Linked DNA regions of Arabidopsis thaliana. Each later gene encodes a partner of the first gene's protein in a complex. Each region holds a gene or a part of one and is shown on either strand. Other genes may lie near its edges.

Region 1 (8,320 bases):
TTACTAAGTTATTTGATAAAAATAGCACGATTATACGCGCGATGATATATATCAAATTGTGGAAAATGTTATAAAGTAGAAAATTGGGCCGAAGCTGGATCCAATTATGATTCTCAAATAACGTGAAGGAAGGCATTTTAGTCCCCTCTATACGGCCCAACCACTCGCCACCGCTTATTGGTCCAACTTCAGGGTACTTTGGTAATAAATCAAAGCTTAGCTTTTGAAATTAATAAAGTATAGGGGTTGATTTGTTATTCTCAGTTTCTATCGGGTTAATTTGTCATTTGCATCGTTTCTAGTTTCCACTTTTGTTGGGTGATTTTCTTCTCTGGAAGGATCTGTTTTTCTCTTCTTCGTCTTCTCTCACCCGCCTACTGACTTTTTTTCAAATTTCTTCAGCAACACATACATACAGTCACAAGGTTTCCAATTTTCGATTCACGATGGAAATGGCGGAAGGGGAAGGAACTACAGAGGAGAACTACGACGTAGACATCGCGACCACCGCTTCTTCATTAGGCGGCTCCGGCGTCTTCCATATCATCAATGACATAGTCGGATTCGTCCTCTATATGCACCAGCAGATCCCTTCGTATGTTATCTCTTCCTATCTTCGTATCTCTATGCTTCGATGTATCCTTCGATCTGGTGATGATGTATCTATTTGTTTGTTCTTCAATCTCTCCGTTAATTTCTCCGATTAGTCTGTTGGTTACGAATTTATCAGAAGAAAAATAGTTTCGTGGTTATGAATTTATGGATTCTGGATGGATTAGTGATTAATTCCTGGTAGGTGAGTTATGTTCAATTCTAGGAGAAATTGAAAAGCTCTACGCAATTGTGCACACTACTTCCTTTTGGTTTTAGAATTAAGTCTGTTGTATCCACTATGAGTGTTTTACTGAAAACCAGAAACTTCAATTTGCAGCTTTGGTTTTGGCTACACAAAGCTCCTTCTACCAATATGACTGTTGTTGGTTATTTACATCTGTGCAGGGTATTACAAGACATGAGCCTTGAATTTGAAGGATTGCAAACTGAATTTATGGATTTGGTATGTTAGTCCTACAGACGCCATTTTCACTTTAAGGTCTAAGGTCTTTTTCACACTCTAAGAATCTTAGGTTGTAGGAGACGAATCTTGCAGAACCTCAAGTGAAACCACTGGTTAGAAGAAAACTGATGAGTAGAAAGAGAGAGGTGAAGAATGAGATTAAGAAACTGGAGAAACTGATGAAAACCATCTCTAGTCTCCGAAGTGCGCTGCAGTTAATGATCCGTGAAGCTCCTGGCATTCAGAAAGTTGTGTTGATTCTTGGTGGTAGTCCATTACGGCCTCAAAATGCTTATGAGTTGTTATTCACACAACGCAGAGACCATGTTCTAGGCTACGAAGGTGACTTTGCTAAATCCAAAGCTGCAGAAGCACTTTCAAAAAAGGTTTATTCTTTTTCTTACCTCTGTTTTCATGTTGCTTGTGATTTGTCTCTTTTCAATTTTATCTGCTGTGATAAGTCAAAAATGGTTGAGCCCTTCACTCTTGGCTTTACAGACTATCCGAGCACTGATCTCGACGGGTGCTGGATCAACTTCCTACCCAGGTAACTTTTGCATAAATTGCAAACTTCTTTAGCATTGTTGTGAATTATGGTGTAATGATTTTTTTCCCTTCTTCTGAGTTGCAGGTCCAATGAGGCTCTTCATATTGGTTCATGCTCCACCTACTTTGAATCTTCCACAACATTTCCTTCCTAAACGTGACTTCAGATACAACAGAAAGGTATACACTTCTCTGCTAATTCTATTTCACACATCCATGTACAACATTCCGATTTTCCGTCACCTGCAAACATCTTTTATTATTGCAGTTTGTGCCTTCAAAGTTGAGATTCAAGTGCAGAACGCAAGACAATGCAACAAATTCTCCTCCCACAAATGATCTAATATGGTACTTCTCTTATTCACAATTCTCCAGTTACACACTAAACAAGTTCTTGACCATGCCTTACTGTGTCATTGCAGGTATCAATGTCGACATGTGATAAAGGGATTAGCTTTCCATCAACCAGTTGAAGAATAAGACTTTAGAGTTTGTTTGTATCTCTCTATTGTTGTAACTAAACCCTGTTGCAAATTTTAGAAAAAAACCAGCATTGTTGAAACAATTCCAAATCTTGAGATGACATTGTACTACTACTACTGCATACTCTAATACTCTGTTGTTTTAACAAAATCAGGATTGTTCAACTATTTTATATTTTTGGACGAATTGTTAACATTTAAAAACCTAATTTTGTCGAGAAGTTTAATATACATAAAGTTAGGGGGTCAAACGCATTAAAATAAATAAATAGGGGGTCAGAATGAAAAAGAAACAAAGCTTTAAGTTTTTCTAATAAGAGTCCTCCTCTTCTGTTTGCTCTGGTTACTTCGGCAAACACAGACGCAAAATTTTCTTCTTCTTCTTCTTCTTCTTCTTCTTCTACCTTGAAGCTGCTACCGGTTCCTCTCTCAGTCGTTGATAACACATCGAAGCTTCCATTATCACCTGTAAGTTTTCTCCTGTTATCTTCTCTTCGCTTGATCTCAATTGTTCCTTCTTTCTCGTTGTTCGGGTTTATCTACTCCAACTTGAATCGCTTGTTTTGCTAAAGTGAATTCGAGTTTTTTAGGGTTTTGTTAGTTCTAATGCCAATTTCGATTTCTAGGTAGGAGGAAGAAGATGATCTTTAAAATCGAAGACGTAACTGTCTACTTCCCTTATGACAACATATATCCAGAACAATATGAATACATGGTTGAATTGAAGCGAGCCCTAGACGCTAAGGGACATTGTCTTCTCGAGATGCCTACCGGAACTGGTAAAACCATTGCTCTTCTCTCTCTAATCACCAGCTATCGACTCTCTCGTCCTGATTCTCCGATCAAGCTTGTTTACTGTACTCGTACTGTCCACGAGATGGAGAAAACGTTAGGTGAGCTTAAGCTACTACATGACTACCAAGTACGCCATCTCGGCACCCAGGCTAAGATCCTCGCCCTTGGTCTTTCCTCTCGGAAGAATCTTTGCGTTAATACTAAGGTTTTAGCAGCCGAGAATCGTGATTCTGTTGATGCGGCCTGTAGGAAACGAACTGCTAGCTGGGTTAGGGCTTTGTCCACGGAGAATCCAAATGTAGAACTCTGTGACTTCTTTGAGAACTATGAAAAGGCTGCTGAGAATGCGTTGTTGCCTCCTGGTGTTTATACTTTAGAGGTAAGATTAAAAAAGTTAAGGTTTTTCACATTTGTTGTTTGATCAAGTTTATGTTTTAGTTGGAATGCTTATTTCGAGGTTACTTGCACATTTTGCCTGATGGTATATGTGTGTTTCGATTTTTAGGATCTAAGGGCGTTTGGTAAGAATCGTGGATGGTGCCCTTACTTTCTCGCGAGGCATATGATTCAGTTCGCCAACGTTATTGTTTACAGCTACCAATACCTACTGGATCCTAAGGTTGCTGGGTTCATATCAAAGGAGTTACAAAAAGAGTCAGTTGTAGTGTTTGACGAGGCCCATAATATCGATAACGTGTGTATTGAAGCACTCAGCGTCAGTGTGAGGAGGGTTACACTTGAAGGAGCTAATCGAAATCTTAATAAGATAAGGCAAGAAATTGATAGGTACGCTAATTTTTTCCTATATAGCTGATACTCCTTAAGTTCTCTTGAACGTGCCACTCTTAATACAACAATAAACACAGTGATAGGGTCTTTTCTTTTTCAATTGAATTTCCTGATTGTTCTTGAATGCCATCTGGGTGTCTGCTCACTCCAGTTGCTAATTGTTGGTTTTCTTAAGGAAGTTTAAGTTAGTAAGAAAATAATCTGGTTTTATGAGACTGCTTTTTGTCAAAGAACTGTAAGGGGAACAAAAATTTACAAACGCTTTTGTCATCATCTTAAACACATGAAGCATAATTTTCTTGGTTCAATACAGGAAGTGACCTGGTTATTTGCTGATGCTTATTTTTAAGTTCTTATTACATTATTGAAATTGTCCAACTGGTAGGAAGGTTCAAGGCTACTGATGCAGGAAGATTGCGAGCTGAATACAACCGGCTGGTTGAGGGTTTAGCACTGAGAGGGGACTTATCTGGTAAGTATGTGTTCAGGAAGGTGATCTGTGATTTGATTGAAAGCACACAGTAAATTTTCTAATTCTATGAACTTGACGCAACAATTTTTTTTTTGCAGGAGGTGATCAATGGCTTGCAAACCCTGCACTGCCTCATGATATTCTAAAGGAGGCTGTCCCGGGGAATATTAGACGGGCTGAGCATTTTGTGCATGTTTTACGCCGATTACTTCAGTACTTGGGGGTACGGCTGGACACTGAGAATGTAGAGAAAGAAAGCCCTGTTAGCTTTGTATCGTCACTGAATTCTCAGGCTGGAATTGAGCAGAAAACACTGAAGTTCTGTTATGACCGGCTCCAGTCTCTCATGCTAACCCTTGAAATTACAGATACAGATGAGTTTTTGCCTATCCAGACAGTGTGCGACTTTGCAACTCTTGTTGGGACATATGCCCGGGGATTTTCCATCATCATCGAGCCTTATGACGAGAGAATGCCCCATATTCCAGATCCTATATTGCAGGTAAATATGGTGTTGACCTACTTTCTTTTGAGTATTGTCACTGGGATTTTAAGGGATTATGACTCACACGTAAATGCTACCGTTTGAATAATTGAGAATTGTATCTGAAACATATATCCTTTTGTATCTTAGTTGAGCTGTCATGATGCGTCTCTGGCGATCAAACCGGTGTTTGATCGTTTCCAGTCAGTCGTGATTACATCAGGCACATTGAGCCCAATTGATCTTTACCCCCGTCTTCTTAATTTCACTCCTGTTGTTAGTCGAAGCTTTAAGATGTCAATGACACGAGACTGCATCTGCCCTATGGTTCTAACTCGGGGAAGGTATGTGGTATATAAAAAGAATCCTGAACACTTAACTTATTTTTTAATTTTATATGTCTTGACATTATTGGTTGTTTTCTTTTTCAGTGATCAGCTTCCTGTTAGCACCAAATTTGACATGAGAAGTGATCCTGGTGTTGTGAGGAATTACGGAAAGCTTTTGGTAGAGATGGTATCTATTGTTCCTGATGGAGTTGTCTGCTTCTTTGTTAGTTACTCATATATGGATGGCATTATTGCTACATGGAATGAAACTGGAATTCTGAAGGTAAGGTCTTCTTCATCGCTTTACCATGCCAGTAATTTTTTCAGAGTTTTGCATGAATTGGAATTTTTATGATACCTCAAAATATTTTTAGTTGCTTCAGGCATTAATGTATATTTGTTTACTGATATTACCAATTCTCTTAATGTTTGTAGGAAATAATGCAACAGAAGCTTGTTTTCATTGAAACACAAGATGTTGTAGAAACAACATTGGCACTGGATAATTATCGCAGGGCTTGCGATTGCGGAAGAGGTGCAGTTTTCTTCTCTGTGGCCAGGTAAAATTTTTATTTTTGAATGGTAGATGGTTTGGGAATTCATTGCAATGCGTCTTTGGTTCTGCTTCTTTGTTTCTGTATTATAATACTGGAATTGTCTCTTCTCTCCTATTCTTGGTTGGTTAACAAATATTAAAGAGGTTTCACTTTTGAGAAATTTCAAAGAAAGTGATCAAATTTTGTATTTGAACTGCAGGGGGAAAGTTGCTGAAGGTATCGATTTTGATCGTCATTATGGAAGACTGGTTGTAATGTACGGAGTACCATTCCAGTATACATTAAGCAAGTAAGTTGTACTCAAATGAATGTTTATCATTTCAATTTCCGGTTTTCTGCTTTTATATTTCATCGTACTTGGGAGATGATAAGATGGAAACGGGAAAAATTTCAGGATATTACGAGCAAGATTGGAGTATTTGCACGATACATTTCAAATAAAAGAAGGCGATTTCCTAACTTTTGATGCCTTGGTATGATTCTTATTTTATGATCTTATTAGATTTTGGTGTGCAACTCTTTTACCTGTTTGTGACTGTTGTTAACTCTTTTTGGCTTTAACACAGAGGCAAGCAGCTCAATGTGTAGGGCGAGTAATCCGGTCAAAGGCTGATTATGGGATGATGATATTTGCAGACAAAAGGTACATGCCCGCCTTAAGTTTTCTCTCTCTGAGTCTGGTCATTTAGATTCTTGCTATTTTACTAAATGGGATTCTCTCTATAATCTATCTAGTATGATAATAAGTATATGCGCAAGTATCTGAGATCACCTCGAGAATAGAAGATTGTAACAGAGTTCACACTGTTCCTTAGGAATGGGAAAATATTCGTAGGACAGAAGAGAGACACAGATATATGCTTATGTTGGTTTATAATGTCACATTTCTATGGTCTAACAATACACTGCAATTGATGGTAAAACTTGCAGATACAGCCGTCATGATAAGCGGTCCAAACTACCTGGTTGGATACTTTCGCATCTGCGTGATGCACACTTGAATCTAAGCACTGATATGGCTATTCACATTGCTCGAGAGGTAAACCTATAACTCGCTGCTTTTTTATAACTCACAGTGAAACAAACAACAAGGCATAAAGAATCAACAATTTTCCTGGTTTTTGTTTTTTTTGCAGTTTCTTCGGAAAATGGCTCAACCGTATGATAAGGCGGGTACAATGGGAAGGAAAACTCTGTTGACACAAGAAGATTTGGAGAAGATGGCTGAGACTGGTGTGCAAGACATGGCTTATTAGTAAATCAGTTTGTTTGTTATTTTTTGGTTTAGGTCAATCAAAAATTGTTGTAGCAAAAATTTTCACTGTAGGTATTTTGTTCTTTTTCTTGATGATTTTCAAGAATCGAATTGAAATTTAAGGCTCGTAAAAGTTTCGTTTTGGTTTTAAATCTATTGAAATTAGCAAAATTTATGCTTAATGTTAAGATAACTAGATTATCATATTCACTCATTACATCATTTTAGATCAAGAAATACTTCGTCGGCTCCTTGTTAAATCTATCAAACATACCACTAAAAAAAAAAAATCTTAAAGAATGATTAAATAAATTTAACCAAGCAGTAGAAGTGGAATTGAAATTGGCAGAGTTAGTGCGACGACCCAATCACCTGTCTCCAATAACCGCCTCAAAAACTGTCGAAGCCCATTGGGCACTTGCAAAGCCCAACAGTTGGAGTTCCAGCTCACCCACTAGCCGTTATTACGCAGGCTAATTTTTCAACGTGCGAGAAACCAGATTTCCTTTTTCCCGAAGACTATTTAGGGAATTTCCTCTCTTGAGCCAAATTTTCCTTTTTCCCAAGGGGGGTATTTAGGTATTTTCGTCTCTCTCGGCCAAGTTTCCTTTTTCCGTTCCTCCGTAATAAAGCTTTCATTCTTTTTGTAGGTTTCCATTAGAAGTTCAGAAATACTGTTTATAAATACAAATCCAGAGTCAGAGATCCATTCGATAGCACTTTCCTCTCTTTCTCTCATCGTAAAACCGTTCTTCGTTTTTTCTATTTCTCTCGTCTCTTTCTTCTACCCAGATCACTGATCAACCGTGAATTTTACTCTACTCTTTCATCAATTTTACTGTGTTTAATTCATAAAACAAAACAAACGATCGATTTTTGTTTTTTTTTGGGGATGAAGATCAGAAGCAAAAGCAAAGGCTATCGTCAAGAGATCAAATCAACTTGCACCGACTCCAACACTCTGTTCTCAAAAGGTACTTTTCGTCTTGTTGGAATTTTTGGCCAAATAACGTCTTTTTTTTATATGGTATCTAATTACTGTATTCTGGTTGATCGCAAAACAAAGAATTCTCATGTTTAAAGTGGGTTTCGTCTAATCCAATTTGAATTTTAGGTCTTATATTATTTCCCTAGCTCTAACCCTAATCATATATTTCTCAAAGTTTTTGATTTTTATTCAAGATTCCTTCTAATCAATTATTTCTTCTTTGTATGTAGATGTGGTTGCAACTTCGGAGCTTTTTTCATCTGTGATATCGTAGCGTGTGAAAGACGGATAATTCTACAGAGACAATGCATCATCCCATTCGGTCAGGTCAATTTTCATCCCTATTTTGTTTATAATCTATAATCTTATAGATAGTTTAATTACAAAAAAGGTTTTTATACTTTTGATTTTTCAAAACAAAATATATTTCTCAAAGTTTTGATTTTTAAAAGTTTTCAACTCTTTTTTATTTTTCTTTTTTTTTATAAATACTAAATTAATATGACATTTTGAAATCTAACCGGATTTTGGATCCCGCCATTTAACCTTGGTCATTAGCGATTCCA
Region 2 (6,280 bases), 5.5 Mb from region 1:
CTGATTACACCCTTCCATGCAAGTTCTTTGAGTAGATGTCTCATAGGCTTTACCAAAACGCAGCTCACGCACAAAGATATAATGTGCATCAGCGGAAGACATCTCCTTACGCTTCACCTTTGCTTGTATAGGCCAATCAGACCCATAGAACCCTTCCATGTTCGTCTGTGAATGGTAAAAAAATTTGAGTACAACAATAAATCTAGAATAAATTTCTAAGAAAGTATGTTCAGAAAATTTAATGATACTTCATTCTCTTTAATACCTTCAAGAGTTTTTGAATGTGATGTTTCACAGACGAGGAAAGTCTATCTCCACGGCCAGATTCCAGGTACAAAGATAAGTCTACAAGACGTAAGAACAACACATACACAGAATTAGCTAACCATCAAGACTCTTCTGTGAACTTAAAACGAAACAAGTAAGCACTGAAAACAAAATTCACACAAACATTATCATAACTAACTAACAACTAATCAGAGCACACTAGATCATAGGTTACCAAAGTCTGCATGAGTAAGGGATTCACAGATAATTAAATCCATGTTAAAAAGCACGAATTCCAACTAACACTACATCTACTTCATAATGTAGTAACATTAGGAATTGTAAAAGTAAGTTTATATGCATCAAATCATTGTCAATGATAATCAGTTCGCATAAACAAAATCCCATATTTTTGAGAAACTGGCGAAAATAAAATTGAGCAGAAGAACAAATTTACCGTTTCTTCGGTAACGGCGGAAAGAATCAAACGGAGAAAGAGGATCGTCAATGGAAGAAGCTCTTTTTATAAGGTCATGAATCGTCTTTTTCTTCTCCAAAATCTGCACGACAATTCTCAATTATCGATTTCGAACAAAATCAAAGATCGAAATTTCGAGTGCTATGAAACATACACATTACTTCCGAGATTTTTTTTACCTTTCGCCGTTTCTTCAAATCCATTGCTCGCCACACCGATGATTCTCTTCCCTCTGTCTCGTTCGTTCTCCACGTCTGAAGTGATTCGGTAGGAGACGGATCCATCAAACGGGTTTGGACCCGAAATAGATCCGACAATAATAAATGACGTCAGCCCAAATGTCGTATTCGTTCAAATTCGATAGAGAAGCCCAACTTTCTATATGGACTATTAGAGGCCTTTTTGTTTTGTTTGCTCAAGTCAACGGGTACTATCTCAAGGAAAAAAAAAGAGTCAAAAACTTTGCAAAATTGATTTCACTTTGATATATGGTATAAAAATTATCGAAAATGAACGCAAAGACACAATTAAACAAAGTTTGCAGTTTCTCTCTGGCACAAAAGATGATTTTAGGTACTAGGAGCTTTTCTCTTCTTATCAGAGGCAGATGAAGCATCATCAAGTTTAGACTGACCAAATACAGACCTGCAAATTTCCAAAAGCTTTTCGATATTAGTATCAAACAACATGATAGATTGTTATCTTGAGAAAGAACATGACGGGTCAAATCTCTTACCCGCAGGTTGAACATTTCTTGTGATGCTCACAGAAAATGGACAGACACACTGAGCATATGTAGCCCATATCTATTGTCTTCTTGTGGCAAAAGCACCTGCAAATTTTGTACTTAAAACCATCTGTTATATATGCAGAGGAAGACCCGATTAATTGAAGAGTTAATGACTTGATCACTTACGATGCGCGAAAATCTACACCTATGGGTTTAGGAAGTTGTACAAAACCGCGGGAGTGCAAATCGGTTGCAAAGATTGTCTTTTGTGCAAAACAAAACAATCCAGAGTTAGCAGCCATTGAGTATTGAGTTCGCTAAATGAGAGACGAGTCACATAATGGTTTGCGTTTGGACTTGAGTTGCGTACCGTTAGATATTGAAATAGCCCATCCAACTGTTTAGGTGTATGATGTACACCACCAGTTATATAAGATGCCTACAAATAAGCCAGGAGATAACAGCTGACGCATAGGTCCAGTTTGACGAGTTAGAATCATGTATAAAGGAGAAATGATATTACCTGCTGCAAAAATGCTGAGTTCTGTACACCTATGTAACACGAATCAATGGGAACCTAAAGAACCAATTGATGAAGTGATTTGGGTACATGATACTGGATTTAGAGAACATCAAGAACCGGAAATCCCAAAGAACCAATCAAAATGAAGATTACCATCAAGCGTTGGGCAGAGAAGATAGAGTTCATAACAGCAACATACCTGAAAGAATGACAAAACCTTTTAATGAGACCAGACAAACAAGACAAAATCTTGCAAGTAGAAAAAAAATGAAGGAAGAAACATACTGTTCCGGGCCATCTGGGGAACCTTGCAAGCATAAAATCTGTATTTCATATAAACGTCAATAGCACAATCAGTTCTGTATTTTGGGGGTATACGATAGAACAGATAACACATAAGAAAAAGGAGTCTATATTCTCATTAATACTTTAAGCTGAAGATTCATACAAAGCAATCAACATGAAAAGTTTTATCCAAGACAACTGATTGATACATATATCCTACTGAACACTCACCCGAGGCTGGGGATGAAGATGTCCAGAACGGAAAACCCTCTGTATATCTAGAGCCATAAATTAAGTCAACAACAAAATGTGAAGACTGAAAATCAAATACATATATTACCAGATAACATTGATGGCCTTAGACATGCTATAGGTTTAGCTGAGAACAAACATGTCAACCTAAAATGTTCCTTACTTAACCCAGTCTAGAGAGAAAGCTAAGCTTCAAGATCACTGCCAGAACTTATGCAAACAAATCCTAATAGTTTGTACTATATATAGCTTCAAGAAACCTATCATGATGCTATATGCTTTTCCAAGAGGATACAGCAAAGAGCCATGGAGAGTGATCCTGACAAGAGACAAGAAGGTATTCTATCCTCAGACACTTCCTCCTTGCTGAGCTCCTCATCTTTGGTAACAAACTCTTCCAATTTCTTAAGCAAAGAACCAAAAATTGCAGGCATTCCAGTTCCATTGCTCTCGAAATTTCCATGATTTGATGTCAAAGACGAATCATAAATGTAATCACAAGAACTGTATCCAGTAGCTATAACTACAACTTGGTTCAACTGATTTAACCCCAAAACCGCATTAAGAAACGCAAGCACCTACACATAACAGCAGCAAGCTTTCTGCATAAAAATCGAAGCATTGAACAAACAAACAATAGATTCGTTAGAGACACTTACATGAGAAAGGAACTGAGAGAAGGTAATCGATGTAGTGCTCCAGAAAAGAGGATTCGTATCAAGCAACAAAACTAGAAGACTAACATCGTCTGCGACCAAAAAAACAATCACGAGCCAATCAGACTTGTTTCCAGTTTTTGGGATATCTAATCTACATACTTATACGATTGAGGAATGTGAGGGTTTCGAAGTAAGAGGAATTTAATAATAACCTGAATACTGCTTAGAAGCAATGGCAGGCATAGTTTCACAGACGATTCCAAGTCAGAATTTCAGTGTGCCGGGAAATCTTCCCGGTGGGAACGAGATCTGATAATGCTATTTCAGTGCCGGGAAATCGTTTTTTTTTTCTTCTCCAATATATCTTCACAACAGGTCTTTGAGTTTTCCGATTACGAACCAGAGTTAAAGAATGAAATTCTCGGATGCTATAGTAACTTACTGAAAAATTCAAGGATTTTTAGCTTATACAGAAATCTGAAGTGATTTGGTAGGAGCCGGATCCATCAAACGGGTTTGGATCCGAATCAGATCCGACTATAAACGTCGTATCGTAAGCCGGGCTTACTAAGCCCAAATATGGCATTAGTTCAAATTTTTAGATAGGCCCAGTTTTCTTTATGAACTAAACCGCCTTTTACAAGGGCCTTTTGTTTTCTTTGTTCTTTCTTTTGGAAAAGAACACCAAAATCTCAAGGAACAAATTTATTTTTCAAACTGGCTACTGATACGAAATTCAGTTTATTCAAGCTTTATACTATCGGACGTCGATATATTAATTTTAATGGTAAAAAATTTTGGTTGAAATGTTGTTTGTTTCAATACTAAAAATTAGTAAATTCACACATGTCCTGATATCCAATCCATCCTATGAAACTATAGTCATGTTTGGAGATCGTCTTGATATATAATACATGGGGCATAAAAAGCTTACTACATTTTTTTGGGAGTAACAACTAACAAATAAACAAACAAGTTTTTTGGTTGGAAAAAGAAGCAAATCACATTCATAAAGGTTTGATTGACTTCATATAATTTGATTGTTATTCATTTGATTGACTTCATATTATTTTTATTCAGTATTCTTTGGATATATACGCGCATGACAATCGACATGCTAAATACTTGTAATCCGTAGGGTCATGTGTGACTGTCCACTAAGAATCTGAAGATCTAATCATAGTTTTTACTAAAATCATATTAATAATTAACTTGGCAATATTAATGGCGATGGCCATTGGAAAGCTTTTGCATGATGGCCTAAATATAACTTATTGTTTGGTCATTTTCATTAGAAGTCCTTAGCCTCCGAGGTACATTGAACCTCACAAATTCACATTAAACTTTAAAATCTCCTATAGTTTAGTATATGAAAATTATATAACTAAATTCCACCAATGTCTTTATGAGTAAATAATAATCTTACTATCAAGTCAAATTAATATCACTAAAATAAATGTTTTGAAAGTATTATTATTTTTCAACAACAATGGATTATGTGTTTGAATGTGAAGATAACGATTCTGATAGGTAACACAAAGCTTTAAAGTTGTTTTAGCTGTAAATTAGAATGCAAAACTATATAAATAAGTAGTACAAAAAGTTAAAAATAACGTTTTTATAACGCTTTTGTAATTTGTAATATCACGGTACATGCTGTACCAAACTTTGATAATTGAGTTACCATTCAAAATCACTAAAACAAACTCTTTAAATGCATATAAATCTAATCATTAATGCAAAACGTTAAAAGTAACGCTTTTATAACGCCTTTGTAATTTGTAATTATCACGATACAGGCTGTAACAAACTTTGATAATTGAGTTACCATTCAAAATCACTAAAACAAACTCTTTAAATGTATATAAATCTAATCATTATTGCGTAGATTTATCTCAATATACACAAGCCACTATAGCCAGGTTCCGGGTAAGTAGGACAGATAGCAGTCCCATGCATTTAACCTCGTGCAAGATAAACATAAACGGTAGACACACTAGTTGCCATTTTTAGATACAACTCAACAAATAATAATTAAGATAAAGAACAAAAAAGAGTGATTAACATTTAATGGAAAGATTTATTAGCTTCCCAGGCTCCTCACTTAAATCCCACTCAAGTCTCCATATAAAAACTGCAACTTCCATCACTCTTCGATCACCATCATCACTCTCTCTCTCTCTCTTCTATTTCCATGGCTCTTGTTCGTAAACGCCGTCAAATCAACCTCCGTCTCCCTGTCCCACCGCTCTCTGTTCACCTCCCCTGGTTCTCCTTTGCCTCATCCACCGCCCCCGTCATCAACAACGGAATCTCAGCTTCCGATGTCGAGAAACTCCACGTTCTCGGAAGAGGAAGCAGCGGGATCGTATACAAAGTCCACCACAAAACCACGGGGGAGATATACGCTCTGAAATCAGTCAACGGCGACATGAGTCCTGCTTTCACAAGACAATTAGCGCGCGAGATGGAGATCCTCCGTCGCACGGATTCTCCTTATGTCGTCAGGTGTCAAGGGATCTTCGAGAAACCAATCGTCGGAGAGGTTTCGATCCTCATGGAGTATATGGACGGTGGAAACCTAGAATCTCTCCGCGGCGCCGTTACGGAGAAACAACTAGCGGGATTTTCCCGCCAGATTTTGAAAGGTTTAAGTTATCTCCACTCACTCAAGATCGTTCACAGAGACATCAAACCTGCGAATCTACTCTTAAACTCGAGAAACGAAGTTAAAATCGCTGATTTTGGAGTGAGCAAAATCATTACCCGATCGTTAGATTACTGCAATTCCTACGTCGGCACTTGCGCTTACATGAGCCCGGAGAGATTTGACTCTGCCGCCGGAGAAAACTCCGATGTTTACGCAGGCGATATCTGGAGTTTCGGAGTGATGATACTTGAGCTCTTCGTCGGACATTTTCCGTTGCTTCCTCAGGGACAGAGACCTGACTGGGCGACGTTAATGTGCGTCGTGTGCTTTGGAGAACCACCGCGTGCGCCGGAAGGATGTTCCGACGAGTTTAGGAGTTTTGTTGACTGTTGTCTCCGTAAAGAATCGAGTGAGAGGTGGACGGCGTCGCAGCTTC
Region 3 (8,905 bases), on another chromosome or scaffold:
TCAGTTTGATTAATATTTTTCTTAAACTCAAGAAAAAACTGAATCAAACCCAAATTGAAACCCCAGCTTTAAAACACTCCTAAAATAACCTATAAACAAGAATTACCAAAATTAAAACATCTAGAAGAAAAATTATCAGTTTTGTCTCGTTTTTTATTCACAGAAGTGAATCTAAAGCACAAACTCTAATTCTTAATCTCCGTTTTTTTGTAGACGATTTGAAACGTCTGTACACAAACATATGTATATCAACACTGACATGTTTCGTAAATCCAACTTTGTGATCAGCTATTAGTGTATTCTTACCCATTTTTTCTTTTTAAGTTTTTCTCTTGTTCTCCAATTTCTTTCTTCTGATACAGAGAGAATTGAGCCTTCTAAGATGCGGCATTTGCGGGTTGCTAGTCAAGAGTAGAGTCAAATACCATTTCCTGCAGAACAAACGGATCCTCTCAGACATATCCCGGGAATTAAAATGAATTTGTAAACAAGCTAAATTGGAACTACTCATTATTTACGGTTTACTTAGAGATTAGAGTTTTTCGACATACACCAAAGAGAAGTGAATAAAAGAATGTACCTTGTTGCAGACGGGGCAGGTTTCACTTCTCTCCATCCATTCTAGAATGCATGCAAGGTGAAAATGGTGATCACATTTGGCTACAAGTTTCGGGTTCTCGATATCATATTCTGAATCAAAAGCACAGACAATATAATAAATAACCCATTCTCGCAGTCATGTAAGGTACGATTATGTTTATATGTTTTTGAGATGTGGGAAAGGCAAACAAGCTTTTACCTTCCAAACATATGGGACAATCCTCCTCTTCCTCTATTGGTATAAAAACAGCTTTTGATAGCTTCGGGTCTATTTCTTCAGTAGATTCAAGATCAATCTCTGTTTGGATTTTGCTATCTGTCTCTTTATGTGAGCATGTAGTTGGAACCCCGAGAGTAATACCATCAACTGTTTCTTGAGCAGACTCGGTATTAGCAGAGTCCACCGAAACCTCTCTTATATCAACACAAGTAGCCTCTTCACCACTAGCTGGTGTTTGAGGAATCCCTATAGGCACATCGAAAGGGGTAGGCAGTGGCGGTGGTATATAAGCATCAGGAGATGATGTCTCTAAGTTTGTGTCTACTACTACAACACCAGTAGAGATTGCAGAGGAAGTCCTGTTATGAGCGGAAGATAAAGGCACACGCTCTTCTGTTGCCCTTGGGTACTGCAAAATACAAGTCATAAAACAAGTTATATTCCCATATGAATCTCGAAGCCCGTTGGGGCTTTTAACTCATTTAGTGTCCTGAAGCACATCAAGATTGATTTATTTGCAGCCTATCAAAGCAAGGACACCCAAAAAAAACGAGGAAGTGGGAGAAGTATCAGACTAACGTAGTAGTACGCAGGTCCATTATCTACATCAGCTCTTCGTGAAGAAGAACAACAACAGCAACCTCCCATCTCTTCTTCTCTTTTTTTTTTTTTCTGTTTTACAAAAACTACAAAACCCGAAGACTCTTCATCTATGCTAACCTACAAGATATGTGAAGAAACAAATTACATTCTGAGATCAGTAGGAGAATATTTATCATCTATATGCAAGAAACTCAAACAAGCTTTATCGTTTTCGATATCAGTTTGAGCTGTCTACTAAAGTCTGATCAGACTCATCATGCTAGTAGCAACAATAAAACAATTCAGCTACTAACAGTTCAAATTCACTCTCAATAATCAAAGATACAATAAACATCAACCATTAAAATCGAGACAACAGTGTTGCGACTACAAGCCTATGTGAATCTCCTACAATTCTCATTCTCTTTAGCACCATCTACACACAATTGCAATAAATTCAAATCAGTTTTACACTAAACCCCAAAAACTTAAAACAATTCTACTCAGAATTTAACTCCAACACAAACAATGAATCCACAAAAAGAACCAAAGCTCCATTAAGAGCAAGCTAATCCGTAAAACCCTAAACCGAAACTTATAAAAGCAACAATAAACATCAGAATTCTCAGAATCTAGCATAAACACATAGGAGAAATACGGATCAAAACAGTAAAAAAAAAACCCACAGAATTTCACACAAAAATCAAGCTCAAAACCTAAAGAAAAGCGATCACTAGCAAGAACAAACACCAAAGAAGAACCGATCATCTTCTCGAGATTGAATCAGAGAAGAGGAATTAAAAATCTCAAAATCATAGAGAGAATTTTACTTTTTGTTCTTGGGGGAAGCTTTTTTTGTTTTGTCTTCGTCTTTCTCTGCTTCTGTGCTTTTTGCGGTGCTGTGTTTATCGTGCGCTCTATCAAAATGACTTTCCTAAGAAATTACAAAGACTCTTTTTGGGCTCAATATTATATTTACTTACCTGATTTATTAAATTCATTAATACAATTATTAATTAGCTGATTAATTATTTTATTTTTTCCGTTACAATGTATTTTTCAAAATTTCAATAATGAAATTACATAACTGAAAATCGGCTGAAAAGTGTCGACCAAAAAATTATAAATTGGGAAGTACCATTTTCAGTAAAATTATTACTATTTTTTTTCCGGCAAATAATTTATCGATGTTTAAAAAAGAAACATGGGCTCAAACTTAAGAATAAAGCCCATTTAAAGAATCCTATTAAAAGCCCATATTTGATCTGTTACTGCAGCCTTTATATATGAATCGTGTTCTTACGTTTCTGCTTAACAATTTCCTTCCTCCGCTTCAAACGAGTCACCGACTCGACACAGGAATCCGAATTCGCCGGAGACGCAGCTTGCTTCGTTGAATAGCTTACAACGGGAAATTACCACGAAGACGGTTGTATATTCCCTCCGTCGTACAATTTAGGTTATGTGCGAATTCACAAATTGAAAATACAAGAGAAACAATCCCTAAAATCGATTTGATTAAGAGGAGCGAAAAGAAGAAAATCAATATGGGAAACGGTAATGGTCTCGAATCTCGATCGTACTGAGTTTTGATTCGTTTATTGAATTATCCGGTGAAAAGAGTATGCTAATACTGGGGAAAATGTTGATGTTTAGATGAAAGAAAACGACCTACAAAGAAGATGAAGTACGGTGGGAAGGTTCGTGTTGATTCTTCTCCACATGACTTTTTTTATTTATTAGGCTCTTCACTTCTAGTTAGTGTAATTGTACTGTAAAAATCTCAGGATGATCAAAAGATGAAGAACATACAAAACGTTGAAGATTACTATGATGATGCTGATGAGGATTCTCGTGATGGTAATATTGATTACTCTCGTATAATTAACATAGATACATTGGGAACAAAATTGAAATAGAATTTATAATGGTTTTTAAAGGTGAAGGAGAGGAGAAGAGGAGAGATTTTACTGATTTGGAGTTGAAGCCGGATCATGGAAATAGGCCTTTGTGGGCTTGTGCTGATGGAAAGATTTTCTTGGAGACATTTTCTCCTCTCTATAAACAAGCTTATGACTTTCTTATCGCCATTGCTGAACCCGTTTGCAGGTTTGATTTTGATTTGATTATTATATCAATGTACAAGTTATGATTTTTGTTGTTGATTTTCATTCATTTGTTACTATTTCAGGCCTGAGTCAATGCACGAGTATAATTTAACCCCACACTCGTTGTATGCTGCTGTTTCCGTTGGTCTTGAGACAGAAACTATCATCTCTGTTTTGAATAAGCTATCTAAGACCAAGCTACCCGGGGAGATCATTGATTTCATCCATGCTTCTACTGCTAATTATGGGAAAGTGAAGTTGGTATTGAAGAAAAATCGGTATTTTATTGAATCACCATTCCCGGAGGTAAGTTCACCAGACTGATCCTCTTTCTCTAGTTATGCGTATGGGATTTTTGTGTAGTTTCTCTGTTGGTTTTGCTCACTCGTTAAATATAAACAATCTTAGGTGTTGAAAAGGCTTCTCAGTGATGATGTCATAAATCGAGCAAGATTTACTTCTGAGGTATGTTGAACTCCTCAATTTAGTGCTTTATGTTTACTATTACTGGATGGAAATACATACCATGATCTGTTGTTCTCAACAGTTTTTGCATCTTTTGATACCAATGCGGCAGAGAGATCTATCCTGATTCTCTTGGGGCTATTGGTTTCGTGTTTAAATTCTAATTTTTTCTTGAACTATTTAATAGATAAATAAACTCATTATCCTTCTTTTTAAACTCCTTGGTTCATTGAATGTGAAATTGATATCTCTTATACCATTGTATTCTCCACAGTATGTTGAACCAACTTATTAACTTTTTTTCTAGCCATATTATGGTGGTGATGGATTTACGATCGGCAAAACAAGTGGTGAACTTGAAGCAGGACCTGGGGAGTTGTTGAATGAAGCAGAATTGGCAGCAGCAGCAGAAGAGAAAGAAACTCACTCATTTGAGATAGACCCTGCACTGGTAAATTTCCCCTAATGCTTCTGAAATAAATCGTGTTGATGACTTTGTTAATGTTATATGATCTTTACTCAACTCACGGTGTCATGTTCTTCTGCTCTTGGTGTGTAGGTGGAGAATGTTAAGCAGCGTTGCTTGCCAAATGCCTTGAATTACCCTATGTTAGAGGAATATGACTTCAGGAACGATAATGTGAGAAATAATTATCACACTTCAGGTCAATTTTTACTTATCAGATGATATGAACTGGATGTTCGTGATTGTTAATAACTTGATGGTGTCTGTCAGGTTAATCCTGATCTTGACATGGAACTGAAGCCCCATGCACAACCAAGGCCATACCAGGAAAAAAGTTTGAGCAAAATGTTTGGAAACGGTAATACGATATAACTGTCTACGCCCGCATTTATTTTCCTTAGTAATTTGTTTACAGCGACTGCTAAATTGATTGTGAACTTCTCTTAGATATATAGATTTGTACTTTCATACACTGTTCTGATCTAGCTTCATTGTGAACTTCTAATAGATAAGTATCTTTGTTATTTCTCCTGAAAGCTTGTGACTGATCTAGACTCCTGATTCTGCAGGACGAGCAAGATCTGGGATTATAGTGTTACCTTGTGGAGCTGGTAAATCTCTAGTTGGTGTTTCTGCAGCGGCTCGTATAAAGAAGAGTTGTCTTTGTTTGGCAACGAATGCTGTCTCGGTGGATCAATGGGCCTACCAATTTAAGTTGTGGTCTACTATAAAAGATGACCAAATATGCCGTTTCACTTCTGATAGTAAAGAACGATTCCGTGGAAATGCTGGTGTTGTTGTGACAACCTATAATATGATTGCCTTTGGTGGTAAACGATCTGAAGAAGCAGAGAAGATTATAGAAGAAATGAGAAACAGAGAGTGGGGGTTGCTGCTTATGGACGAGGTAATCAAATTGTTCTTAGTGTGATGTGCCTTTGAATTGAAGTTAGTGTTTACTGGTAGTTTACATTGCGGAAAAGTTATATGTGGTTCATTTAGAATGTGTATCCACTATCCAGTGTTACTGGGATCTACAAATAACAAGTTTCCATCCAATGCGTGACATTTTAAGAGTTATGTTTTTCATAGGTGCATGTGGTTCCAGCCCATATGTTTAGGAAAGTTATCAGTATTACAAAATCTCACTGCAAGCTAGGACTTACAGGTAAATGAAAAATTCATTTTCACATACCTTTTTATTTGTTATACTTCAGTTGCAGAAGCTAAGTCTCTTTTTTGGTCTTTTGTTCAGCCACCCTTGTGAGAGAAGACGAAAAAATTACAGATTTAAACTTCCTCATTGGCCCGAAACTCTATGAAGCCAATTGGCTAGATTTAGTTAAAGGAGGCTTTATTGCAAATGTTCAGTGTGCTGAAGTATGGTGTCCCATGACCAAAGAGTTTTTTGCAGAATATCTGAAGAAAGAGAACTCGAAAAAAAAACAGGTTAATGCGTCTAAGCTTTCTCCGCATTGATCTTTGTTTTCCTTGGATATTTTTACTGGATAAAGATCTTAAAATAATTGACTATCTTATTTTATGTTTGTTTGTTTTGATACACTAGAGTCCATGAATTTGATGTAGTCTAGAACCTTATAATATGGTAAACATCAATATTATAGGTTATTTGTGTATGTCTTATAATTTGGCAAATGCTTCTAATAGATCACCCTGTAATAGAAACTAGGAAACCCCTTCAATTGTTCTGACATTTACATATCTTGTCTTCTGGTGTCTGCAGGCGCTTTATGTCATGAACCCTAACAAGTTCAGAGCCTGTGAATTTTTGATACGTTTCCATGAACAACAACGTGGGGATAAAATCATCGTCTTTGCAGACAATCTTTTTGCACTTACAGAGTATGCAATGAAACTCCGGAAACCGATGATTTACGGTGCAACCAGGTTCGTTAAAGAACCACCTATTGAGAGCACAATTTTGTATGTTTCACTCAGTTTCCAATCTGATAGTTCTCTTTGTTCAATATGTAGCCATATCGAACGAACAAAAATTCTCGAGGCGTTTAAAACCAGTAAAACCGTGAACACTGTATTCCTGTCAAAGGTATTAGCGTTGTTTCCTTTCCATTGACCTGGGAATATATAGAGACTTGTTCATTCCATTTTCATCAAGTAACTTAGTTTCGGTTTCTTTTATTGACTACAGGTTGGTGATAACTCCATAGATATCCCTGAAGCGAATGTGATCATCCAGATTTCGTCACATGCTGGTTCTAGACGTCAAGAGGCTCAACGTTTGGGTCGTATCCTTAGGGCTAAGGTGTGATTTTAAGTATTATAACTCATCACATTTTGCGTCTCTCCTAGAGTTCCTCTTGGTTGTTGGATCCAACACGTTTTATTTCTCCGTGATCAAAAACAGGGTAAACTTGAAGATAGAATGGCTGGTGGAAAAGAAGAGTACAATGCATTCTTCTACTCGCTTGTTTCTACCGATACACAGGTAAATCACTTTATTGTTGAAGTAGCCATAAAAACTGAAATTCATCAGACCAAATCAGAACCAAAATATAATTCAGTTCTAGTCCGCACTCGTTTCCAAAACACAGAAAAAATTTTGCTTTCCAGAACCCGTGACTTGAATTCCTGAACCGATAAAAATCGAATGACTGATTGAATGGAGAATGACTGATGTAAGGATCGTGAATGTTGAAATGCAGGAAATGTATTATTCAACGAAAAGACAGCAGTTTTTGATCGACCAAGGTTATAGCTTCAAGGTAATAACAAGCCTCCCACCTCCGGACGCGGGTTCAAGCTTGGGCTACCACAGTCAAGAAGAACAGTTGTCTCTTCTCGGAAAGGTGTTGAATGCTGGAGACGATATGGTTGGTTTAGAACAACTTGAAGAAGACACAGATGGAAAGGCTCTAAAGACGCGACGAAGCATGGGATCGATGAGTGCAATGTCCGGTGCAAATGGAAGGGTCTACATGGAATACAACTCAGGTCGTCAAAAATCTGGTAACCAATCCAAGAAACCTAAAGACCCAACCAAACGACACAATATCTTCAAAAAACGTTATGTTTGAGACAAGAGAACTCATATTCGGCTATATGTTTTGAGTTGTAACTTTGGTGCAAATTTGTTTCAGGCACAAAATCAAGAAAACCTAAACGAAGACACCCTACCTTAAAAGACCGTTAACATTTGATATTTGTTTTATTATGTGAATTGATTAATTGATATTAGAAAGTTCTTTCCTTTTTTTTGATATTTGTTTTCTAGCATATCATGATATCGCCTCGAGAATACCTTTGAAAATTATTTTGTTATTGTCAACTGTCATGATATCTCGCTGAACCAACATATAAAACACGATTATAATTTGGTTGACAGATCCTGAACAACAGTAAAACGTACTTAGTTTTCGAGGTTAAAAAATAATTACTTGTCATGATTTCGAATTAAAAATAATAATGGGCTCAATTTGAGATTAAAGAAAGCCCACGCTAAAAGAGGCCTACTAAATGCCCATATTGGATCCGTTATTGTAGCCTTTCTATATATGAATCGAGTTTGCATTTCTGCTATAACGTTCTCTGCATTCACATGATCACATCAACTCAGTAACGGACTCGACATACCCGGACCTGGACCCGACACCGAATCCGAATCATAATGCGACGGAGACGCAGCTCGCTTCTCGGTCTAGCTTACAACGGAAAATATTTACGGTACCGTTTGTTTTCCCTCTGTCGTAGAATTTCTGTCTTCGACACCGGATTGATATAATCGATTGAAAAGACAAGAGATAATGTCTAAAATTGATTCGATGAAGAGAAAAAGATCAATATGGGGAACGATAAAAGTCTCGATCTTACTGATTTTGGTTAATTTTCATATTACCCTGCAAAAAAAAGTATTGTCAATTCTGGGGAATTTTGTTGTTCAGGTGAAAGATGAAGAAGACCCGACTCTGTGTGTTTTTTCTTTTAAGTGTCGTACTGATGAAGAAGATCTGGGTCAATTAGTCATCCGTTATGGCCCAGTTGTTAAGATGTTATCCAAATCGTAAGAAGAAGGCCCGACATGTTTTTGAGACGTTGGTAAGAAGAAGGTCTTGCTTCTTTTGTGCATCCAGATAATGTCTATATGACCAAGGTAAGAGCATCCTCATTGCACATCCTCCAATGAATGTCTTTCATATTAAATAATATTAAATTTAAAGACCCTCTCTCTTTTGACAGGTAAAATGTCTACTATTAAGACACATCCATTTATTATTTTCCACTTTTTTAAGTAGTTTAAAAGTTTAAAGACACCCATAAAAGATATGCAATGAGGATGCTCTAAGGGACCGAGATTATATACTGCTGCAGATGGGGTAATGTAATGCTATTTGTCTTGTGCAGGAGCGTTGGATGTACATTGGTCTCCTCTTGGTTCATACTTTGTGTCACTTGAGAAGGAGAAGAACGTGGCAACTCTTTGGGCAT
Region 4 (7,715 bases), on another chromosome or scaffold:
CACAACCTATCCTTTTTCAAATAAATAATAGTCCCAAAAGCTATAAACCCCACCATTGTCTATTGCATTACATATTTTGGATATTTTATACAAATATCTACAGTAGTTTCAAAATATATAATCAATACAGGATGTCTACAAAGGGTTAGTAGCGATATAGCATCAACCAAAAATAAAGCCATAGCGCTATAATCTTTTTTTGTAGGAATGTAAAATTGTATTCATCCAAAACATGTTTTACAATTGAATGCCACATAGAGAGCTGATAACAGAAAGAAAGAGTGTATACTCCTATAAGAAACTAGAGTATTAGGAATTGATTTTCAGTGTTAAATGCATCTTTTATCTTTTCACTTGAAACTAGTTTGAATTTCGGTATGTGTTATACGGAAATGGAGATTATGCATCTATTGGAACTATGTTACCTCAATCTTCTGAGCTTTACAATGTTCACATACTTAATCTTCTAAAATACTACTATATTGATAATTCGATATCTAATACTCTCCTTAACTAATCTAGACTACAAAAATCAAAGAATAAATTGCGTATAATAAGAATCGACTTTTGAATCTACTGGGTTTATGCCAACCCTAATGCTATATTGGCAGATGTATGATGTAAACATTTAATTTAATACCAAGTTAAACTATATAAAAAAATTGAGTTAGCTTTAAGCTTTTTGCCAAGTGGAAAGTAAAAAATAGTGACGATGCTCGATCAATTGTATAATTGTAATAAGCACTCTAGCTGCAGCTATAAATACCCTACTAAGTCTCTCATCTATCTTCACTATCTTTTGTGATAAGAAATTCTATTATCAATTCCTATCATTTGTTAAGAAAAAGAGTTAGAAGTATTAATAATCTTACAATATTTATAGATAAGATAACAACAATATGAAGCATTCTCACGTTTTGCTTCTTCTATTTGTTCAAGTCATTGTCCTTTTGCCTCTCCTTTGTCTATCCGACGATTTTGTTAACTCTAGAGCTACTTATTATGGCAGCCCCGATTGCAAAGCAAATCCTCGTACGTATTAAAATTGTTATTGCTATATACATCGTGTACCTTAATTCTTTTTCATTTTCTTAGTTGTTGTATAGACTTGTACACGTTATATATTGGTAAAAGATACATTGGTGTAATATCTCACTATAAGCCATAACTAATTATTTTTGTTTTATATCTACGTATAGGTTTCTTGTTTTGTTTTATTTTGAAGGTTTATTCAAATTCTAAATACATATATGATTGAAAACGAGTCCACTAAGTGTCCATTAACTGCGTAATTAGTAATGATAACTTTCCATTATGAGAATATACATAATATTTGTCGAAAGAATAAGAATAATTAATTAATTTTTTGATGATGCAGGGGGACATTGTGGGTATGGAGAATTTGGAAGAGATATCAATAACGGTGAAGTGAGTGGTGTTTCATGGCGACTATGGAACAATGGAACTGGCTGTGGTGCTTGTTACCAGGTTATTATATATAGTTATCTACTTATCTCAATCAATATTTCATCAAATATTATTATAGTATATGCTATGTCATTAATTACTAAACTTATATTATGAAAGAAAAAAAAACTTATTTTATGAATTATAAAAAGGTGAGGTGCAAGATACCACCACACTGCAGTGAGGAAGGAGTATACGTAGTGGCTACGGACTCCGGAGAAGGAGATGGCACGGACTTCATCTTAAGCCCTAAGGCGTACGGACGTATGGCGCGACCCGGCACAGAAAATCAGCTCTACTCCTTCGGTGTAGTCAACGTTGAGTACCAAAGGATCCCTTGCCGATACGCAGGGTATAATCTGGTGTATAAGATCCATGAGAAAAGCTACAATCCTCATTATCTTGCCATCCTTGTCTTGTACGTTGGTGGTGTTAATGACATCCTCGCCGTTGAAGTCTGGCAGGTAAATTTAATCAAAGATGTTGAGAAACTTAGATATATGTTTTTGAGGATCAAAATATATAGTTTACTCTTAGATGATTTTGTGAAACAAAGTTAAACGTTATTATATGGTATGCATGTATATGTATGATTTTAGGAGGATTGCAAAGAGTGGAGACGTATGAGAAGAGTGTTTGGAGCGGTTCATGATTTGCAGAATCCACCTAGAGGCACTCTCACATTGAGGTTCTTAGTCTACGGAAGCGCAGGAATCAATTGGATCCAATCGCCAAACGCTATTCCCGCTGATTGGACTGCCGGAGCCACCTACGACTCCAACATTCTACTTACTTAATTGATTCACTTTTCATCAGTGTGTTTTTATCATATAGTATTTATTATGGTTTCTGTATGCAATGGCTAATATATTTAAATAATGCCCTCTAGGACAATATAATTAATGATGATAATATAAATAATCGTAGTAGATTCATATATAATTTATGTATTGTGTCTCACTAAGAAGATTGTAATGGTTTGTATGAGTTTGATTTTGATGGAATAAATCAGTACTAATCAATTTATCAGATGATGATCAAACGTTTCGTAAGCTTTTTTTGTTTACATTTTGGTCAGTCAAGCATATATCTCTCCCTAATCAACCATTTTCATGAAAACAAATTGGCGCGATTTTTGTTATATAGATAGGCCCATTAGTAGTATTCACAAGGCCCATTAAAACTTAATTTATCTTGGCCATCCTCTTCGATCGATTTCGTCAGTTTTCTTTGATTCTGGGTAGTAAATAATCGGGATCAATTGTAGAAGAGCTCATCGAGAAAAGAGAGAACCTAAACTTTAAATTCAATTCTGTATTGTTCTCAAACTCGAACCCGAAACTTTAAATCCTTCCTTATTTGTTTTCTGGAGTTCTTGTTTAGAACTGTTTTGGATTTGTTTTTTTTGAGGAGATGCTTTAGTTAACTAGGTTTGCTTCGAGCTGATCGCTGTGTGGCATAAACCCTAATTTCGTGGAAACTGTGCTCTTTTAGAACCGGTCCAGTGAGTAAGGGAATCCAATTGGTGAAGATGCCGCAAGTTAAGATCATTGCTAAAAATTTCATGGACATGGTGGCGTCACTTCCAGCCATCAAGCTTGACAAACTCTACAACAATGTCTTTATCTGCGAAGCCATTCTCAGGTTAATTTATGTGTCTATGTTGTTGAATTTTGAAAAAATTGAGGATCTTACATTCTTAAGATGGTGTCAGGTCTTTGCCGCCTCTTGCCAAGAAGTATGTATTGCAGATGTTGTACATTGATGTTCCTGTACCTGCTACGATGATGGAGGAGTGGGTGCTCGCAGATGGCACCTCTAAACATAGAGTTGCTATTGATCGACTGATTCAATTAAGGATTTTTTCAGAAATTAGTGATAGGTATGCATTCTTGCTTTATTCTTGATACTGTCATGATTTGACTTATTTCAGTTAGTTCAATACTTCTGTCTATTCACGTTGGAGGGTTTATTTGATATATTTATTTAAAAGAGTGATGGTGGATGTTAACTTGAGCATTGAACCCTATGAGCTTCATCTTATACTTCAATTTACTGTGTTTGGATTGATTATGATTGTATGTGGCAAGATGATAGTTCAGATTTAGTTCTTAAGCTGCTCTTCGTACTTTTGCAGGAAAAGGGGAACCAGCTACAGCCTAAATCCTACATTTCAGAACAATCTTCAGAAACATATTATTTCCGGGTAAAGACATCTTTACATTGACGGTACTCTCCTTTTTCGTTTTTTCTCTAGGCTTTTGGAGAAGATGCTGATGAGCTAAATTTGAATTTTGCAGTGGAGTTTTGCCTAGAGAGCCTATGAACTCCGACAATGCCATTAAACTTCCAAGCCTACAAGAACTCGAAACCTATGCACTTAAGCAATGGGAGGTGTGTGTATTTCCTAATTTCTTATTGATAATACTAGTAAGGTGGAAGTAATTTGTAAAACAAATATCTTTTAATATGAACTTGGTTAGTATCTGATGATGTGTACTTATGTTTGTCAGTGTTTCTTGCTACAACTTATAAATTCGGGTCAAGGTGAAAAACTAACTGGCATCAGTTCATCCATGATGAAAATTTTTCAGCGAGGTTTATTGAGTCAGAGGTAATGTTTTCATACACGTCTATAGATGCATAGTGGTGGCATATAGCCTCCCTATTTGATACACTTCATGTAATATTGCAGAGACAAAGATGGCCCGAGATTAACTGAGAGTGGCTTTCAGTTTTTGGTATGCAAATCGTGAGTCAGTGGTCTATAATTACCTGTATTCATGTAAGTAACCTGATTGACCTCAATTTTCAGCTGATGGATACAAATGCCCAGCTTTGGTACATTATTCGAGAATACATATTGAATGCCGAGGTTTGTATTATTCCTAAGGTTTTGTGAAATTGATATCTCTATTTCGCCGAATGGATAACCCAATGCCAGTGTTTCTCAGGAGCGAGATGTAGATCCAGCAGACTTGATTTCGTTTTTGTTGGAGCTTAGTTTTCATGTTACTGGTCAGGTATAACAGAACTTCACAAAAAAGTCATTTCAAGCGTTCTTGTTCTTGTTTTTACTCTTACTTGATTTAGCGGGATGCTTGTTAATTATTTCGGTGAGCTTACACATTGCAGGCATATAACTTAAATACCTTGACAGAGGTTCAAAACAATACCCTCAAGGACCTTGCAGACTTGGGATTAGTCAAGCTTCAACAGGTTAGACTTAGACCATTTGTAATATTTTTTTTATTACCAAATATCAAAAGAAAAAAAACTTTGCTAAAGTTATGATTATAGAACTATATCACATGCTGAGCCAGTCTTTATGATTATTGAAGGGAAGGAAAGACAGTTGGTTTATTCCTACTAAACTGGCTACAAATTTATCAGTCAGTCTGGCAGATTCATCAGCGCGAAAAGAGGTCACACCTTTTTTATTCCCCTCTTGTCCCATATCTACCTGCTACCAACAATTTTCTTGATTTTGTGTATCGCTGTTGTTTGTTGTTCCTCATCAGGGATTTGTCGTGATGGAAACAAACTTCAGAATGTATGCGTACTCCACATCTAAGTTACAGTGTGAAATTTTACGACTATTTGCGAGGTAGAAGCTCCTGAACATCGACCTGAAACTTTACTCTTCTGTGTCTTAAAATCCTTTAGGTCTAAGTAGTTGGTGCTTCATTATTTCCAGGATAGAGTACCAACTTCCAAACCTTATTGCTTGTGCCATTACAAAGGAAAGTTTGTACAATGCATTTGACAATGGCATCACATCAGATCAGGTACAGTTGGTTTCAGTTGAAAAACATTTTGAAGTTATCGAATACATGATTTTGCCCGGATCCTCACTGTCCTTGAAATGTTGATCAAATTGTTGATGCGTCTCTTTATAGTTTCTGAATAAATATTTTTTCCTTTTCTTTTGATTGTCACAGATTATAACTTTCCTCCAGCAGAATTCTCATCCACGATGTGCTGATCGAGTCCCATCTATTCCAGAAAATGTCACTGATCAGGTTTATACTCTCTATGCCCATCAAGTGTCGATTATACAAAAATGTGTATAGGATTGGTTTATAGAATTGAAAGTGTATACTATCTCTACGTCCTGATTCATCAGGCTTATGTTGAATAAAAATGCATTGTTCTGGCAGATTCGGCTTTGGGAGACAGATCTGCAGAGAATTGAGATGACCCAGGCTCACTTCTATGATGAATTTCCTTCAAAAGTAACAAACCTGAACCCTCTTATTATTTTCTCTTCTCCATAACGCAAAACCGTTATAGTAAATCTCATTAACCAAAATCATGTTAGCAGGATGTGTTTGAGGCAGCTTGTGACTTTGCTCGGGAATGGAGAGGCCTTCTTTGGGAAGACTCTAAGAGAATGCGACTTGTTGTGAAATCCGAAGTTCACAATCAGATGCGTGAGTTTCTTCATACCCAAAGCAGGTAACAAGAAGAAACTCACATTTTCTTCTCGTATTAAAACAAAACATCATGCTTCGATTCTACAAACTATGTCTTTCGTGAGGTTTCAGCAGAAAGAGAAAAAAGAGTAGCCATTTGATGTCTTGTTACTCTATTAGTTACCATCGTTTTTATCCTGCTAACACATGCGCACCCCAAACGTAGGAAAAGTACTTGGTGTTGGTACCCACGAAGTTGAAAGTTGAAACCTTTAAGCTGTAAGACCGATCCATTGTAAATCACAATATACTTTATTAGGCGAAGTTAAGTTTGAAACAACATATATTGACAAAACGTGGTCGTTGGGGATGGTCCAACCAGGGTCACCTCTATAATTTCTTGTACGCTAGACAGAACACAATCTCGGTTTTGATTCTATTCAGTTGACCAAATTTCAAAATTATTAAAACCTCAGCAAATGCGAGGCTACAATCTCAGTTTAATCAACTAAGAGGATGTATTCAGAGACGCTGAATCTATTCTGTGTCAACATGAAGACAAGATCTGACTTCATTTTGCTTGAGATTTTTCGTTGGCTGAGGACTCTGAATCCTGGATCTTATCTCCCATGTTTGCATCTGTAGTCACATTTGCATTTCCACGTGCCCGAGCGAGTTTCTCAGCTTCTTCAATCTTTCGTATAGCTTCCTGTTGTGTTGCGTTCATCATTGTCCCCATCGTTTTCTTCTCTCCTTCGAGCTGAATTTCCATTATGGTACTAGCATGCTTGTCTATCGGTTTGAAGTAGTCTTCAATTTGAGCCTCCTGTATTGGTAAAAGACCCAAAACATACTTAGACTTATATTCTCCTAACACGAACAAAAGTAGAACAAAAGACTCTCTGATTTATGGAACACAGACTCTGGCACTGATTTCACTCTTTTCTTCCAAAAATTTCTGCTTTCAAATATCTCAAACGCCAAAAACTAAAAGCGTTTTCTCTTCTATGAATGCTTTCGAACCAAAAGCACTTCGAAGGAAACAATATCTCAAACATTTTTCACCACACTTAATATATATAATTGATATTAAACAAGTGATAAACTCAACCATTTGCAAACTTTGGACTGAGGATAAAGACAAGAGAGACTAACCGTATTCTCAATCTGCTTATTCAAATTCTGCATCTCCTCAACCATACGGCGGACTTCAGATAATACAATCTGCTCTGGAAGTCTGTTTATCTCTACTTTCCTTTGGTTAGCCTGCAGGACCAGAGGTTTGATCAGATAAAAAGGTAACCATGAGGTCCATGACCAACCCAAGCTAGAAGCTAGAAGTCACAAGTACAGAAGTCTATACGATTAGGAAACTATAATGTAAGGAAGATCTTATTTCAGCAGTCTTCACAATGTACAATAAGTACTAAGCTTTTCTAATTTATAGATATTATTCAATTATCATAAACTAGAAGTACACATATTGACTTCCATTAACAATGAATAAAAACAAGGGTAATAATGTTTATAGACAGGGTTCTTCAAATTTATGCGACCAACTATAGTCCAAAGCAGGGTTTTATCATCTTATTCTACCATTTATGCTAAGAAATTAGATAGAGGCATGGTGAGAAAGAAACCTGCTGGATACGCTTTTCGAGTTGCAACCTGTAACTCCGGATTCTCCTTTCTTCATAGCCGGAGAGAACTCTCACATAGAACATAGCTTTTCTCCCATATTCCAACAGCTTGTTCATCTTTCCTACAACTACAAGACACCACACAAACATTCAATGAAGAAGAACAAAACATATCAAAGTAAACTAGTTTTAT

The links.
Region 2: UVH6 (region 1) and AT1G18340 share a complex: the UniProt entries of both Arabidopsis thaliana proteins name them as parts of the 7-subunit TFIIH core complex.
Region 3: UVH6 (region 1) and XPB2 share a complex: the UniProt entries of both Arabidopsis thaliana proteins name them as parts of the 7-subunit TFIIH core complex.
Region 4: UVH6 (region 1) and AT4G17020 share a complex: the UniProt entries of both Arabidopsis thaliana proteins name them as parts of the 7-subunit TFIIH core complex.

Annotation. Positions count from the first base shown.
Region 1 is NC_003070.9:773,097-781,416, forward strand, and holds UVH6 (RAD3-like DNA-binding helicase protein), read left to right. Parts: upstream 1-2,430; 5' UTR 2,431-2,553; exon of another isoform or gene 2,554-2,711; 5' UTR 2,712-2,725; coding exon 2,726-3,259; intron 3,260-3,385; coding exon 3,386-3,666; intron 3,667-4,058; coding exon 4,059-4,141; intron 4,142-4,239; coding exon 4,240-4,643; intron 4,644-4,775; coding exon 4,776-4,969; intron 4,970-5,056; coding exon 5,057-5,237; intron 5,238-5,389; coding exon 5,390-5,514; intron 5,515-5,710; coding exon 5,711-5,800; intron 5,801-5,905; coding exon 5,906-5,984; intron 5,985-6,077; coding exon 6,078-6,154; intron 6,155-6,441; coding exon 6,442-6,550; intron 6,551-6,647; coding exon 6,648-6,767; 3' UTR 6,768-6,948; downstream 6,949-8,320. Other genes in the region: AT1G03180 (non-structural protein), read left to right, coding at 447-595, 1,000-1,057, 1,135-1,443, 1,556-1,604, 1,689-1,783, 1,872-1,951, 2,026-2,083; AT1G03200 (uncharacterized protein), read left to right, coding at 7,659-7,740, 7,985-8,028. UniProt on the Arabidopsis thaliana protein: ATP-dependent 5'-3' DNA helicase, component of the general transcription and DNA repair factor IIH (TFIIH) core complex, which is involved in general and transcription-coupled nucleotide excision repair (NER) of damaged DNA and, when complexed to CDK-activating kinase (CAK), involved in transcription by RNA polymerase II.
Region 2 is NC_003070.9:6,310,298-6,316,577, forward strand, and holds AT1G18340 (basal transcription factor complex subunit-like protein), read right to left. Parts: upstream 3,635-6,280; 5' UTR 3,438-3,634; coding exon 3,407-3,437; intron 3,284-3,406; coding exon 3,195-3,283; intron 3,114-3,194; coding exon 2,831-3,113; intron 2,562-2,830; coding exon 2,515-2,561; intron 2,322-2,514; coding exon 2,284-2,321; intron 2,198-2,283; coding exon 2,152-2,197; intron 2,053-2,151; coding exon 1,999-2,052; intron 1,915-1,998; coding exon 1,846-1,914; intron 1,739-1,845; coding exon 1,662-1,738; intron 1,578-1,661; coding exon 1,482-1,577; intron 1,391-1,481; coding exon 1,315-1,390; 3' UTR 1,146-1,314; downstream 1-1,145. Other genes in the region: AT1G18335 (Acyl-CoA N-acyltransferases (NAT) superfamily protein), read right to left, coding at 1-165, 266-345, 725-827, 925-1,029; MKK7 (MAP kinase kinase 7), read left to right, coding at 5,389-6,280. UniProt on the Arabidopsis thaliana protein: Component of the general transcription and DNA repair factor IIH (TFIIH) core complex, which is involved in general and transcription-coupled nucleotide excision repair (NER) of damaged DNA and, when complexed to CAK, in RNA transcription by RNA polymerase II.
Region 3 is NC_003076.8:16,541,625-16,550,529, forward strand, and holds XPB2 (homolog of Xeroderma pigmentosum complementation group B 2), read left to right. Parts: upstream 1-2,715; 5' UTR 2,716-2,949; coding exon 2,950-2,959; intron 2,960-3,058; coding exon 3,059-3,102; intron 3,103-3,189; coding exon 3,190-3,262; intron 3,263-3,342; coding exon 3,343-3,511; intron 3,512-3,593; coding exon 3,594-3,816; intron 3,817-3,918; coding exon 3,919-3,975; intron 3,976-4,282; coding exon 4,283-4,426; intron 4,427-4,534; coding exon 4,535-4,615; intron 4,616-4,711; coding exon 4,712-4,799; intron 4,800-5,010; coding exon 5,011-5,348; intron 5,349-5,533; coding exon 5,534-5,609; intron 5,610-5,696; coding exon 5,697-5,890; intron 5,891-6,185; coding exon 6,186-6,349; intron 6,350-6,436; coding exon 6,437-6,509; intron 6,510-6,611; coding exon 6,612-6,725; intron 6,726-6,827; coding exon 6,828-6,908; intron 6,909-7,125; coding exon 7,126-7,497; 3' UTR 7,498-7,560; coding exon of another isoform or gene 7,561-7,613; 3' UTR 7,614-7,703; downstream 7,704-8,905. Other genes in the region: AT5G41350 (RING/U-box superfamily protein), read right to left, coding at 402-431, 581-690, 800-1,229, 1,400-1,540, 1,762-1,764. UniProt on the Arabidopsis thaliana protein: ATP-dependent 3'-5' DNA helicase/translocase; binds dsDNA rather than ssDNA, unzipping it in a translocase rather than classical helicase activity. Component of the general transcription and DNA repair factor IIH (TFIIH) core complex.
Region 4 is NC_003075.7:9,576,366-9,584,080, reverse strand, and holds AT4G17020 (transcription factor-like protein), read left to right. Parts: upstream 1-2,641; 5' UTR 2,642-2,998; coding exon 2,999-3,111; intron 3,112-3,181; coding exon 3,182-3,349; intron 3,350-3,604; coding exon 3,605-3,673; intron 3,674-3,767; coding exon 3,768-3,861; intron 3,862-3,980; coding exon 3,981-4,081; intron 4,082-4,162; coding exon 4,163-4,208; intron 4,209-4,282; coding exon 4,283-4,342; intron 4,343-4,421; coding exon 4,422-4,490; intron 4,491-4,602; coding exon 4,603-4,686; intron 4,687-4,808; coding exon 4,809-4,892; intron 4,893-4,988; coding exon 4,989-5,074; intron 5,075-5,164; coding exon 5,165-5,255; intron 5,256-5,408; coding exon 5,409-5,489; intron 5,490-5,627; coding exon 5,628-5,702; intron 5,703-5,791; coding exon 5,792-5,925; coding exon of another isoform or gene 5,926-5,929; exon of another isoform or gene 5,930-6,014; coding exon 6,015-6,108; coding exon of another isoform or gene 6,109-6,142; 3' UTR 6,143-6,206; downstream 6,207-7,715. Other genes in the region: EXLB1 (expansin-like B1), read left to right, coding at 900-1,032, 1,379-1,488, 1,620-1,931, 2,067-2,264; AT4G17010 (transcription factor IIIB), read right to left, coding at 6,454-6,708, 7,038-7,148, 7,523-7,639. UniProt on the Arabidopsis thaliana protein: Component of the general transcription and DNA repair factor IIH (TFIIH) core complex, which is involved in general and transcription-coupled nucleotide excision repair (NER) of damaged DNA and, when complexed to CAK, in RNA transcription by RNA polymerase II.